Linked DNA regions of Rattus norvegicus. The protein of the gene in region 1 purifies or fractionates together with the protein of each later gene. This does not show direct contact. Links are inferred from orthologs where the notes say so. Each region holds a gene or a part of one and is shown on either strand. Other genes may lie near its edges.

Evidence for each region. The genes of interacting proteins can lie anywhere in the genome.
Region 2: the proteins of Stx12 (region 1) and Vamp3 purify together in Homo sapiens (affinity purification with mass spectrometry; 3 studies listed by BioGRID and IntAct, counting the BioPlex papers as one, with this or other methods). This does not show direct contact. The link is inferred for Rattus norvegicus from reciprocal best matches to the Homo sapiens genes STX12 and VAMP3.

Annotation. Positions count from the first base shown.
Region 1 is NC_086023.1:150,371,896-150,379,530, forward strand, and holds the start of Stx12 (syntaxin-12), read right to left. Parts: upstream 4,452-7,635; 5' UTR 4,374-4,451; coding exon 4,256-4,373; intron 1-4,255. UniProt on the Homo sapiens protein: SNARE promoting fusion of transport vesicles with target membranes. Together with SNARE STX6, promotes movement of vesicles from endosomes to the cell membrane, and may therefore function in the endocytic recycling pathway.
Region 2 is NC_086023.1:166,779,337-166,786,522, forward strand, and holds the end of Vamp3 (vesicle-associated membrane protein 3), read right to left. Parts: intron 4,971-7,186; coding exon 4,812-4,970; intron 4,140-4,811; coding exon 4,088-4,139; intron 2,928-4,087; coding exon 2,911-2,927; 3' UTR 1,591-2,910; downstream 1-1,590. UniProt on the Homo sapiens protein: SNARE involved in vesicular transport from the late endosomes to the trans-Golgi network.

The sequences.
Region 1 (7,635 bases):
AACGATAAAAATCAATTAAGTACATACTAAATGCCAACATTCCACTGCTGTGCCAGGCACTGTCCAAAGAGAAGTGTGTCATGCCTAGTCCTTCATCCCACCAAACTAGTACTGCTCTAGGGACAAGGTCAAAAAGCTTGGCTTAATTAAGGAATATAGAATTTAAGTAGGTATTAAACTGTGAGAAAAATTGGCTTGTTATGTTTAATCAAAAAGAACCAAATGACAGAAAACATGTTTTGTGTATTCACTCAGTAGGGGGCAGGTACTGTTTGCCTTTTTAAGACAGGGTCTCACATAGCCAAGCCAGTCTCAAACTTGCTATGTAGCTGAGGCTGGCCTTGAACTCCAGCCTCCTGCCTCCACTTCCCAAGGGTGAGAATTACAGGAACCCGCTTTGTAGCAGGCACTGTCTTAGCATTTCACGCAAATTATCTCAGTTCTCAGAACTCTATGAAATAATTATAACCATAGATGAGGAGACAGCAGGAGAGGTAAAGCAAAATTCACCGAAACATTACAAAACTACCAAGAAGCTGAGGGAAAATCTAAACTCAGTTAACAAACCTCGAAAAGTTCAAAGATCTTAGCTTTTCAGTTAATAATGTAGAGACTGGTATAGGCACATCCCTTTAGTCCCACCACTCTAGAGGCTGAGGCAGGTGGATCTCTATGAGTTCCTGACCAGTCTGGTTTCATAGCCAGGTTCAGGCTAGCCAGAACTACACAGTGAGATCCTGTCTCGAAAAACAAAAAAGCACTCAGGAGGCAGAGTCTGAAGCTAGCCTGGTCTATCTACAGAGCAAGTTCCATGACAGCCAGGGCTACAGAGACACCTTGTCTCAAAACACAAAATAAACCAAGCCAAACAAACAAAATGACAGGGAAACCTCATCCCCTCAAATTAACTGAAAACAATTAGTAAGCTTTCATGTGCCCTGACCCCGGCTACCACTCTGGTGTCTTTTCCTTCTTTACTCCCTGCCTTTCATCCAGCCACGCCTGCCTCCTTGCTACTCTTTGTCCCCTGAAAGTCCTTGCATTTGCCCTCAGCACACACTGCCTTTCTCCACCACTCACAAAGCTCCCTCCATTCTGGTATCTGCTGATTCAGGCATCATCCTACCCAGGCAGTGGTGGTGCAGGTCTTTAATCCCAGCATTTAGGAGGCAGAGGCAAGTGGATCTCTGAGTTTGACGACAGCCTGGTCTACAGAGCAAGTTCCAGGACAGCCAGGGCTACACAGAGAACCCTGTCTTAGAAAAAATAAATCATCTCCTGAGAGAGGCTGTCCTCACCAGGGGATGGTAATTCTCCCTTCCCTCCATGCACTTAGCCTGCTCCATTTCCTTCGCACCACCTGCTATGACTTGATATTATTGGTAAATGCATGCAAACATCCACACGATGTCATGCAGAAGTTCGTTCTCTGCTCCTTACCAGTGAACATCAGTGCTCAAAGAATGGTCGCTGCACCCTGAGTGAAAGAACCCATCATATGCTTGGGACAGAGGTAAACAGCAGAAAAACAAAGATGAATGAACCATGTTTCCTACCTCAAACAGCTAACAATCTAGCAGAGAAGATGAGTATATTACAAAGAAAAAACAAAAAGAAATGAAAAACACACATTCAGCTAGGCAATTCTTTCTTTTTTTTCTTTTTTAAAGATTTTATTTTATGTGAGTACACTGTCTTCAGAAGAGGGCATCGGATCCCATTACAGATGGTTGTGAGCCACCATGTGATTGCTGGGAATTGAACTCAGGACCTCTGGAAGAGCAGTCAGTGCTCTTAACCACTGAGCCATCTCTCCAGCCCCAGCTAGGCAATTCTTTAACTTTTCTCAGCCTGTTTCCTACCTCATAACCTAGGAATATTTGTAATTACTCTACAGGGCTGTTACCGGTTAGGATATTACATGTAAAGCACTTTGCATATGGCCTAGCACACTATGTACTTAAACAGCAGCTAGTAACATTATTAATTATTGACTCTAAGGATCCAATGCCTAATCAGCACTAAATCAGTATCTATCACCAAGAAAACCACTCCTATTCCCCACCATCACCTTTCTTCGTTGTTTTGCTTTAAGACTCACTCTATAGCTCAGGCTGGCTTTGAACCCATGGAAACTGTCTTGCCTTGGTCTCCTGAGAGCCAGGGTTACAGACCTGACTCATCACACCTAGGCTTTGGTTTTAAACCCCTTCTCTGTTCCTCCTTCCTCTTATCCCTTTTTCCTTTTGAAAAGAGACTCAGATGTGGCCCAGGATGGCCTTGAACACACTAGTCAGTCTAGATTTGCCTCTAAGTAATGATAATCCTCCTGCTTCGGCCTCTCAAATGCTATTGTGTGCCAACTATGCCCAGTTTCAACTCTAAATTTTGATTTAAGTGAACACAGACTTGTGATTAAAAGAATCTGTATCAGTTCCTAAGCTTACTATACAACTTAATGCTCAGATATGAAATACCCACAGATAGACATTCAAACTAGGTTAGTGTCAATGAGAAAACTCCAGTCTTGAGAAAACACAATTTTTCTTTCTTTCTCCCTCACACCCCCTTTTTTTTTCTTCTTTCTGGTGGTTCAAAACAAGGTTCCTCTGTATAGCCCTGGCTGTCCTGGAACGCTACCAACAGGCTAGCCTCTGACACTCAGAGATCTGCCTGCCTCTACCTCTCAAGTGCTGGAATGAAAGGTCTGCCCCACCAACACCTTGCACAAAATTCTCTTTAAAATTTTTTTATTATTATTGTATTATGATATGTGGAATATACACACAAATTAATATAAACACACACTCTATGTGCCAGGGAACGAGTATGGATGAGTGTGGAGGTCAGAGGACAGTTCTGTGGAGTCAATTTGCTCCTTCCACGTTATCTGGGTTCTGGGGCTCAAATCAGGTTGTTAGGCCTTCGCAGCAAGCACTTTACCTAAGCCATCTTGCCAGCCCCTTGAATAAGAAATTTCTGATTTAACCTGTATTACAGCTCCAAAATAAAAGGAAACTGGGACACAAAGTACCATACTGTCTGTCTAGTCATCAATAGTATTATTGTGTTTTTAATATCTGGGTTGACAAGCTGACTATCCTTCCTACCTCCAAATCTAACCCTTCCCACCTGAAATCATCTACCTCTCAAATTCTACAGTATACATTTAGATTTAAAAGCAAAGTAACAAGCTGGGTGTGGTGGTGCACATTATTAATTCCAGCACTTGGGAGGCAGGTGGATCTCTCATTTTGAAGCCAGCCTGGTCTACAGGATGAGTTGCAGGGCAGTCAGAGCTATCGAAAAACTGTTTCAAAAATTAAAGTAAAAGCAAAGTGATAGCTTATGTTTTAAAGTTTAGGACATAATTGTAATTTAGAACTGACTCTACCTATTAACAGAGTATAGCTAAGCTCACAAAAAAACACAATGATAAACCCCATAGATGGTTGTCACTATTTTAAAAGTAAAATTGCTTCTGTTGTTCTGTTTACAAGGCTCTGGGCCGATTCTGAGGCTCAAAAAACCACTTTACACTTTAATGGTGAGAAGGGAGTTTTAAGGTAAGCAGTTACAAACTGACTTTGTACCAGGCAGAAAATGAAATCTTCATGTTTTGAAATTTTAAAAACGTCTTTGCTACAAAAGACAACCTAAACTAAAATGTTCCCGGTGCATTCTCCGCCATAAAACAGGAGTCCCTCCCCCCTTAAATACCAGTCATTGACTGATTTCCAGATTAATTACCAGGAAGCACAGTGTGTTAAATCACCCAAAATGCACGCATTCTCCACTTCCCTTAATTGAAAGTTGCTGATGTCCGAGGACCCAACCGCCGAGCAGAATGTGAACCTAAAGTCGCAACCAGTAAGCACCCCCCTGATCCGAACTGAGGAAAACAAGGTGGGTGGGGAGACGGGGACGACTGGAAAAACTCGGCTGACCACTGCGCCATGTCAACCCTGTGCTCACAGTCCTAGAGATGACACACACTCTCTCCCACCCTCTGGCTGTCGGCTCTGTTGACCCCCAGCACCGTCAACTCACAACCCCGAAGACAGGGGTGTGGACCTAAAGGGCCCGAGCCTGACCGACCCGGGAGAAGGCAGCTCGCCGCGCCGGGAGTGGAGGCTCGCGGCTGCCTCAGGTTTGGCCGTAGCTGAGGCCCCGATCCGGCTCCGCGTCTTAGCAGCTTCACCCAGGCCTGTCCCTGAGGCCGCACCCCCGCTCCCGGCTGGGTCCCCTCGCTCACTGGCTTGGCTGATCCGCTGGATGTTGCCACTGCATGTCTGGATGATGCTGTTGAAGTCACGGGGCTGAGGCCCCGACGGCCCGGGATTCCGATACATGTCTAAGGGACCGTAGGACATGACACGGAGCAGAGACCGGGGTCGCGCTTCACGGCGCTCCTACCGGAAGCTGCCACTGACCGGGCCCAGTAGCTGAGAGGAAAACCGGGAAGAGAGAGGGCGGGGAAGGGGCCGTGACTGCGTACACACTGACCCCGCCCATTGCGGTGCGCATGCGCACGCCCCGCCCCATCCCGCAGTGCGCGTGTGCTGCTGGAACTGACGGTAGGTAGTGTCTTGAGAGTTTTCAAACTGCTGGGAGTAAGCGTTCTCGCAAGACTGGACACCTCTAGCTATGCAGCCAACTCAGGACCTGACTTCTTACCCCAGTCTCCTACAGACGGCGTGCCCCGCGCTCAACAACCTGCCTGCCACCAACATGCTCGTCCGCATCCTGCTGCTCGGCGCAGCACTGCTGCTCAGCCACCCTGCAAATTCTCGCTTTTTCAACCCATGGCAAAACAGAGGTGAATGCACGAGCATGGGATTGGACCAGTACAATTCTGTTGTACCCGACAGAATTCGATGGTGAAAACTGTTCAACACCTACATTTCTAACAAGAATGAAGTTACTACCGAAACCAACCGCCAACACGGTGTACTCCGTGCTTACCCACTTCAAGGGATTCTGGAACATTGTCAATATCATTTCCTAACTTTGAGGCCATTCTGGTATACAGGCCATTCTGTGAGTTCCAGGACAGCTAAGGTGACACAGAGAAACCCTGTCTCGAAACACACACACACACACACACACACACACACACACAAAACCAACAAATAAAAAACATTCCCTTCCTGCGGAATTCAGTCATGAGATATATTGCCAGTTAGATCGCATTTGGCTGACAGCCCACCAACTTAAAATGTGCACCACACCGACGAAAACTGGGCTGCCTTCCCCAGCCTCTCCTACTACATCAAAGCCCCTCCTCCTGTGACAGATAACTAACTGCTTGACTCCCGACTCCGACTCTGGATGTGTAAAAGGGAAGAAGAGACTTTCTGATTCAAAAGGTTATGGGAAAAGTTCTAAGAAAAAAATTCATTCCTGATCCCCGAGGCATGAATATGATTTTGCATTCTTCTCCCAGTATTTCAAGACAGACCAGAGACTTACATTCGCCAGAGGATTGGGCCACGGAGTTGCCATAAGCCATGTTTTTGGTGAAACTCCAGATAGACACCATAAACTGCTCCTTTCCTTTTATTTTAATTATTTTTATGCTCAGCGGTGTTTTGCCTATGTGAGGGTGTCAGAAGCCCTGGAATTGGGGTTACAGACAGCTGTGAGCTGCTGTGTGGTTGCTGGGAATTGAGCCTGTGTCCTTTGGAAGAGCAGCCAGTGTTCTTGACTGTTCAACCATCTCTCCAGCCCCAAACTTTGCCTTTTCAAGGATGAAAAATTGAAGTGTCAGGTAATTGATGAAAAGGTATATTCTTTCATCAGAGAGATCAGGGACACTCAGGTGGAGGCAAGCTACCCACATCACACCCCAAACACCTGCAGTTAGCTGCGGGGGGCGAGAGATCTTGGGTCTGACAACTGGTCACATGGTATAAGCTACAATATGAACCAGCCCCACAAATCCCACGGAAGCCTTACTAATCATTTGAGGAGCTCAGGAGAAAAAGAGGCGGCTAAGTTGGAAGCTTTCTGTGGTGACATCGATCCTGTCCTCTCCTGCTGTTAGAAAAGCCTCTTCCAGATGCTGTCTCTGGGGAGACCCTAGTTGAAATCGAGGCACCATTCTCCTTGGAAGGGCTTACATCTAATCTTATCTGTTCTCACTACTAGAAGCCAAGCACGTTTGGGGAAGTAGGTTTTAAGATCACCAATGCTGCCTCAATTCAGTGTCTCAACTTCAGTAACATGAAGGTCCCTTCATTCAATGTTCAGGGCTTCCCCAGACAACCGCCATGATTAGTACAAGTGCTTTGACTCCAGATAAATAGTGACTTAAGTATCAGATCTCTCCAGGTTTGGAACATGCTAGACAGGACAATGAAGTGAAATAGGAGATGCCTTTGGACAAGTTTTCCTACCCATGTTGTATCTCCCCAAAGTCCAGGTCATCATGCAAGAAATTTTGATTTACATTAAATTGTGCCAGATTACCCCAACCGTTACTTCCTTTTCTGCTCTATTCTGAGAACCCAGGCTCAAATATAGGCAAATTAAGCAACCTTGACGTTCAGATCTATAGCCGATTGGTGAGTTTTAAGGGTTTCAAAGTACTTTTATTTCTCCCTCCTCTCTTTTTTTTAAATATTTATTTTTTTATTTATTGTATTATGTGAGTATACTGTTGCTGTCTTCAGACACACCAGAAGGGCACATCGGATCCCATTACAAATGGTTGTGAGCCACCGCGTGGTTGCTGGGAATTGAACTCAGGACCTCTAGAGGAGCAGTCAGTGCTCTTAACCGCTGAACTGTCTCTCCAGCCCCTCTCCCTCCTAATTACTCAATAAAGTAACAATCATATTTTGGGGGCACATACTATGTGTGAATTCTCATTTTAAGTTGCTGGTTTTATAAACACTTTACAGCAAGGAAAGCATCCCCATTTTTATCTTTAAATGTATTTTGTTTGGTTTGAATTTTTGTTTGTTTTTCAAGACAGCGTTTTTCTGTATAACCCTGGCTGTCCTGGAACTTACTTTGTAGACCAAGCTGGCCTCGAACTCAAAGACCTGCGTACCTCTCTGCATCTGCCTCCCAAGTGCTGGGATTAAAAGCAATGGCATCTTGGCTGGACAGTGTGGCACACAGCCTTAATCTCAGCACCTGGAAGGCAGAGGCAGGCAGATCTCTGAATTCAAGACCAACTACACAGTAAGTTCTGGGCCATCAAGGAATACACGGTGAGACCCTGTTTCAAACAAAAACAATGGAGCCAGGAATGGTAGTGCAAGCCTTTAAGGCAGGCAGATCTCAGAGTTCCAGGCCAGCCTGGCCTTCAAAGTAAGTTCCAGAACAGCCAGGGCTACACAAAGAAACTCTGCCTTGAACGCCCCCCCCCAAAAAAAAACCCCAAATGAGGGCCAAGGAGATGGGGTATTAGGTAAGAGCCTTTGTTCTACACAAAGAGCCTGAATTCGAATCCCTGAAGCAGCCAGGTAAAGAGCTGAATGCCATGGCTGGAGAGATAGCTTAGCCGTCAAGAGTGAGATCCTTGCAGATGACCTGAGTTGGTTGATTCCCAGAACCCTTAGGTTGGTTCACGACTGACTGTAACTCTAAGATCTGATGCCCTCTCCTGGCCTCTTCAGGCACTGA
Region 2 (7,186 bases), about 16 Mb from region 1:
GCTCTTCAAGACACATTCATTGTAGAACCATTGAGTACACACGTGGGCAGGGATTATTATACTGAGAACAGAACCAAATTCTCTCATACTTAACATACAACACACGGATGATGCCTCAAAGTCGAGAAAGCCCGAGATGCTGGTAAGGAATAAGCTAGTGGAATGGGAAAGACAGAGGTTAAGGAAGGAGGGATGAGCCCTGGGGAATACGCTGGAGGATAAAGGAAGGCTATTGAGAAGGGGAACTGAATCTGTGTGATGCCTTGGGCTCAGGGAAATGAGTGGGCCAACAGAACTGAACAGCACTGACCCTGCCAGGCCATCCTTGTGCAGAGCAGTTTAGTCATTAAGAACCTTAACATGAGAACAGGTGAGAAAGGAAGGGCCAGACTGATGGGAGCTTGTGCTTAAGGAAAAGTATTTAGACTTTGGCGTTGCAAACATAAACAAAAACCTACCTGGTCCACATTACATTGTTTGCAAGAGTTGGGAAATGAGGAAGAATGTATTCAAAGGCAGGCAGATGTAGAGAAAAGCCACACATCTGGAACATCCCTCACCCATCCAAGTTGACCTATGTGATTGGTGGCTATGTGGTGTACCAGGGTCAGCTCTACAGATCACTTCCAGAAGACTGTATTTAAGAAGCCCAATGGTGGGCTGGACAGATGGCTCAGCAGTTAAGAGCACTGACTGCTCTTCCAGAGGTCCCGAGTTCAATTCCCAGCAACCACATGGTGGCTCAAAACCATCTGTAGTGAGATCTGATGCCCTCTTCTGGTGTGTCTGAAGACAGTGACAGTGTATTCAAATACATAAAATAAATAAATCTTAAAAAAAAAAAAAAAAAAAGCAGCCCAATGGCCAAATCCTGACTGGTCTGGTAACTCCAAATCAGCTACAGACTCTTCTCTGCTCTGAAAAGCCCTTTTCGTTTAAGGTATGTGATGGTTAATTTCAGTTGTTGACTGTTGGGTGTGGAATCAACTAAGCCGAAGCCTGCCAGGTATTCCTGATGATTTCCCTGCTCAGACTGTGTGAAGTGGGGAAGGCGTATCCTAAATGTAGGCAGCGACCTTGGGTGGCCGTCCAGATAAAGATGGGAGAGTGAAGCTCTGCTCTTTGCCTTCACTCACAGGCAAATTAACCCACCTTGCTGCTGCTGCTGTACTCTGCTGTTATCAGAACTCAACGTGTTATCATGGCTTCTGCACGGGCTGAACACCAGATGTTTGCCAGGAATCCCCCAGGCCAGCAGTGCCACATGGGAACTTCTGATCACTCAGGCCCATGGACCAAGCAGCTATCAGCTTCATAGCTTCCTCAGTGTGAGGTAGACCATATACATCAGCCAATCTAAAAATCTCTCTCTCTCTCTCTCTCTCTCTCTCTCTCTCTCTCTCTCACACACACACACACACTTCATCTTATCTTCTGTTGCTCTAGAGAACCCTAAGGACTATGTACTCCTAGGAGAATAGAGCAGAAAAAAGGTAGTTTGTCAGGGAGCGAGGGAGAACATCAAGGGTTAGAAGTTTAGGACATGCATCAGGTATATCCCCCACTCCACTCCAAGAAACAAGACACAGGTTCATGTTAATAACTTTATTCCGGTCACCATAGCGGGAACATTCCCAGCTAAATGCACAGAGAAGCGAGGTATTACTGTGTTAATACAGGAGCCAACGACTTACATGGGACAGAGTACGAGGAGACAGCACCAAAGTTGTGGGGTCAGACCAGGACAGAGGCCCTAGCTATGTGGCAAGGCATGTCTTCAACACTTGTTTTGTTTCAGTAATGTTAGGGGATCAGATAAAAAAAACTAGAACCAGATCCTATGACATTTTGGCTAATGCTGCTTTGCACACAGACACACATTTCAGGACATCCTGGTGGCACTGCCACAGTCTCCCAGAACTCTGTGCAGACTGTTGCCTTTGTGAGGCTTCAGATGCTGCTCTCATCACACTAGTGGCCACAGGCTAGTGCAGTCTGCAAACTACTATCTTGCATACAGGTGTGATTTGAGGTCACCTCTATCGCTCTAGGAAAGAAACCACATCAGGATGAGAAGCTGTACCTACAGCATTCCACAGGAAGGACTGTCAAGATGCTGCGGGCTCAGACAGTACTAACATTTTTTCTTAAAGGGCACCTTGAGTTACACTTGGCACTTATTTGAATTTACTACTGGGGGACAAACTTATGGACAATTCATTTGTATTTAACTTTTGGCAAAATAGAAACTTTGGTCACAGTTCTATAAAAACTTCCTAAAGGGTTATTTCTGATTAAAATACTGTTTTAGAAGTGATACACAACAAGAACTAGAAAGTGAACATCTCCGTATCTAACATAAGAGCATGAGCTCTTCACCAGCATCTTAAATACAGCGGGGTCGGTAGTGCTTACAAAAGTACTCTTAATGAAAAGTTACCTAGTTATCAAAATAAGGCACGCCCTGCTGTTGTCACTGATTTTTGTTAGGCAGTAGTGTTCTTCTTGGAAGGTCCAAGTTGGGAATCTAATTACCCAAAGGTTTAAACTGTGGTTTTGAAGTCCATGTTAGGTGTGGGGACAGCTGACTTGAACAAAATCCTCTTCCTTGAATCCACAAGCCATCAGTGACAACATCCACCTAGATCTCAGCACTCTGAAACACACAAGTCCTCTTTCCCAGTCCATAAATCTGTAAAGGCACTGTGCAAAATGTGGGCAGGGCAGGTCACACCTCGAGTGTATATGAAAAACAAAGGCACATTTTCTAGGCACTGAACTGTATGTAAACTAACACAAATAATCATTTGGGAAAAAAAAAAAACAACAGGGAAGTGCGACAACACGCAGTTCTAAGTAGAAAGTCTCGAAGAAGATCCTGCCGTCAGGCTTCATTTCCTCTGTTCTTCATTAAGAGACACACCACACTAAAAGGCAGGGAAAATTTAGAAACAAGGAAAGGAAAAGGGCAGTTTAGTCTTTCTGTGTAGATACTAAGTAGGGGTTTCTATTGTCTAAACAGGGGCAAACAGAAATTGATTTGGCCAGTTTTCTACTGGTAGCTTCTTTACATACTACAGGATTCTGGGGAAGACTGAAATCAAAAGAGGAAAAGGAAATACCTACTAACATTAACGAGCAAAGAAGGCATGCTTTGCTAGGACGTTCCCATAGACTGGACTAAAAACAGAATGAGTTCTAATATATAGCGATGAGAGTGGTGGTAGTAGCTATGTGCTACCTATATACTGTATGTACTATGTACTGTACGTACTATCTAACATGCCCTGTCGTCTACATATACACTGCATGTACTATGTACTGTATGTACTATCTAACATGCCCTGTCATCTATATATATACTATATGTACTATGTACTGTGTGTACTATCTAACATGCCCTGTTGTCTATATATACACTATATGTACTATGTACTGTATGTACTATCTAACATGCCCTGTTGTCTATATATATTATTGACATAGTTACTATTCCTGTTCTCTTATGCCAGGTGATTTCTTATGTAGCACCCAGGTCTGTCCTAACAACACAAGGTGGACGCCATTACTATCTTCATTTATTCATGAGGACCCCGAGGCTCGGATAGACCCGACTGCTTGCCCAAGGCCATAGAACCTCTACTACAGGTGGCAGAGCTGGGATGGATCAAGGTAGTCTCAGCTAATCACTACATTCCTCGAAAGGCAACAGACATAGGAGAGAAAAATTGACCACATAGTAGGAATGAGATCTGCTATTCTTAGAGGATGAATGCATCCACCTATCCATCTAGCCAGCCATCTAGCCACCCATCTATCTAAACAAAACACCAGACTTTAGTTATAAAACTCAATTATTTAGGGTCAGTTTGGTGGCACATGCCTATAATCCTAGCACTTGAAATGCTGAGGCAGGAAGATCACAAGTTCAAGGCCAGCCTGGGATGAACACTGAGACCCTGCCTCAAACTTCCCTCAATACCACCATCTCAAAATACGCATTTGGTAAAGAACAGTATTTAAGCCTCGGACTGAATCCGCCCTTTGCTGCTGCACAGGCGACCCTCGATGACCAGGGGTAACTCACCAATGATGATAATGACAATAATCACCAGGACACTGATCCCTATCGCCCACATCTGCAACGAGACAGATCCATTAACACTGCAAAACAGACAGGGCTTGCCGCAGCAGCTACAGCATGGAATAACATATCATTTCAAAAGCCTAAATTCTGTATTTTCAGTTATGGCCTGAAATTTAGTTATGGGCTTTCAGACGTGTATCCCAATCCTCTGTGACCCCTGGAAAGACAAACATTTCCGCACAGGTTCCTGATCTTGTTCCATCATCTCAGAGTGTCCCTTCTACACAAAGCATGACAGGAAGTGTCTGAGCTCTGGTCACAGACTGACTTTCTCATTTGCTAAGTCTGATTTGGACGATACTCAGATGTTGCTTTCTCCTCTCGTTGAACAAGGTGGGGTTTCTTAGCATTTAACTTCTGAAATTGGAGCCATTCCCAGAATGGGCAGCAAACTGAGCATCAAAGCCAACGCCCCCATCAGTGTGTTCTCAGGTACCTGGGCTGGGGTCTATTCCTCCTGACTGCTTTGAGCAGTCTGATTCTGCATGGCTTCTAACTTTAGCCACAAAACATGGGATTAGATTCCCAGCTGTGGGCAAGGAATAGGGATGCAGACTCACAGTTGGCCCAGGTTCTACCCACTACCCAGAGTCCCCCAATGCAGCAGTGTGCCCGTGTGACACTCGGGGAATGGAGAGGCCGCTGTGAAGGTCTGTCACATTACCTTGCAGTTCTTCCACCAATACTTTCTCTTCAACTTGGCAGCACTTGTTTCAAACTGCGAGGCGCCTGCCTGCAGTGCATCTGCGCGGTCGTCTAGCTCTGAGAGCTTCTGGTCTCTTTCTAACACCTTATCCACATTGACTCTCATGATGTCCACCACCTAAATGGACATGGTCACAGTTACACAGAAAGGAGAGGAGAACAAAACTCCACATGAAATCTATGGGCACTGTATTTTCCCCAGGTCAGTACTTTATTGAGCTAAACTTTCGACTCAAAAGGAGGCCCAGCCTTTGTGGAAAATCCACTCAGCAAACCAGGAATAGAAGGGAACTTCAATAATGGGCACTTACAGGGAAACCCACATTAGTATCACATGCTATGGTGAGAGACTCAACTTCCTTCTAAGATCTGAAGCAGAACAACGGGGTGCTTCACTTTCCTGGCTGTTCAACACTACCCTGGTGTCCTGGTTAGGGCAATTAGTCAAGGGAAGAAAGGCATCTGGGTTGGAAAGGAGGAATATAACAACTATGTACGCCACATGTAAAACTCTACAGAGAACCCATAAGACTCCTTCACAGGAGGCTGGAGAGATGACTCATCAGGTAAAGTCCCTGTTGTCAGGTCTAATGACCTGAGCTCAACCTCTGGGCCCACACGATGAAGAGAGGAAACCCATCCTGCAGGTGGTCTGTCTTCTGACCTCTGCATGTGGTGCATGCATTGTGTGTTCCCACCACCAGTTATTGTTAGAGCCAGGTGGTCTGTGCCCATTAGTGATTCCTACACCCTTAAGGCAAGATGCGAGGTGGAGACAGGAGAATCGCCCGCATGTTCACGGGCCAGTTAGCCTGCATTTCATAGCACAGCATGGCAGAAACAAGAGACATCACCTTAGCAAGGTAGAAGAGAACCAACTTCAAGAAAGCTGTCCTCTGACCTCCATAGCATACCTGTGCCTGCTGAGTGAAGTACCTTCCCTCTTCAGTGCACGTGAAAGCACATGCACACGTGCACACTAAATAGAGATATTTAACAGAATTTTTCAAAAACTACAAGGAATAAATTCAGTCAAGTTGCGGCATCTAAGATAAACACTTATTAGTTGCTTTTCTTCATGCCAACAATGAGCAATCCAAAAAGGACATTAAGAGAACAGTGTCTTTACCAAAAAATCTCAAAAATAAATCATAAGCAATATAATTACAGAGTTGGAAGTCTTGCAGAATAAAGAAACTATACATTAGATTGAGTAGGTCTGCTGGATGAAAGGCTTGCTGCACAAACATGAGGACCTGAGTTTGGGTGTGGAATGCTCACAGGACAAAACAGGTGTGGCAGTCTGCTCCTGTAACCCAGCCCTGGGGTAGGCAGGGAGAGGAGGATCCCAGAGACTCACTGGTCAACTAGTTTAGTCAACAGCTGAGCTATGGGTTCAGTGTAGGCCCCTGCCTCAAAAATTAAGGTATAAAGAAAATAGAAGGGTTGGGGATTTAGCTCAGTGGTAGAGCGCTTGCCTAGGAAGCGCAAGGCCCTGGGTTCGATCCCCAGCTCCGAAAAAAAGAACCAAAAAAAAAAAAAAGAAAAGAAAAGAAAATAGAAGAAAATCCCTGATTTTGACCTCTGGCCACATGTGTACACACATGCATATGCTACACCCATTCACAAAAGAGAAGCCAAAACAACACAGAACACTGCTCTATGCTGAGTACAATAGCACATACCTGCTATTTGGGAGGCTAAGGCAACACACACACACGCACATGTACACGCACAGAGACACAGACAGAGACAGACACAGAGAGACAGAGAGAAGAATTAAAGTATTACTAACGGGAAAGACATCCACGTTGGCACATTGGAAGACTTAATACTGTGGAGATGGCAGTACTCCTAGAGTGACCTACAGAGTCAATATAATCCCAACAGCCGTTTCCCTCAGGAAGACTGTCATGTAATTCCCACTCCGGTGTTTTTTTTCCACATGTAAGCTCAAAAAAACTGAGAATAAATAAACCAATATTAAAAGAAAGAGTTATAATAGTCATTTCAAAACTCACCACAAAGCTAGAATAATCAAAGCTGTAGTAGCGGTACAGTGAGAGCAGCGAGGAAGAGAGAACACTGAGAGCCTACATACATGTTTACAGCCAAATGAACTGATTTATTTACTGACTGATCTGCTTTGGTGCCAATGATGCTTGTATAGGATAGCCAAGTGCTCTACCACTGAGCAATACTGAGGCTGCCATTCAAAGAGATGCTAAGACCAACAAATGGAGTACCTAAATGAGTCTTTCCATAAGGAAAGACTAGACAGACCAGGGAGCTGAGTTTAGGTGCTAAGACTATAAACATTCTTAGAAGTAAAAC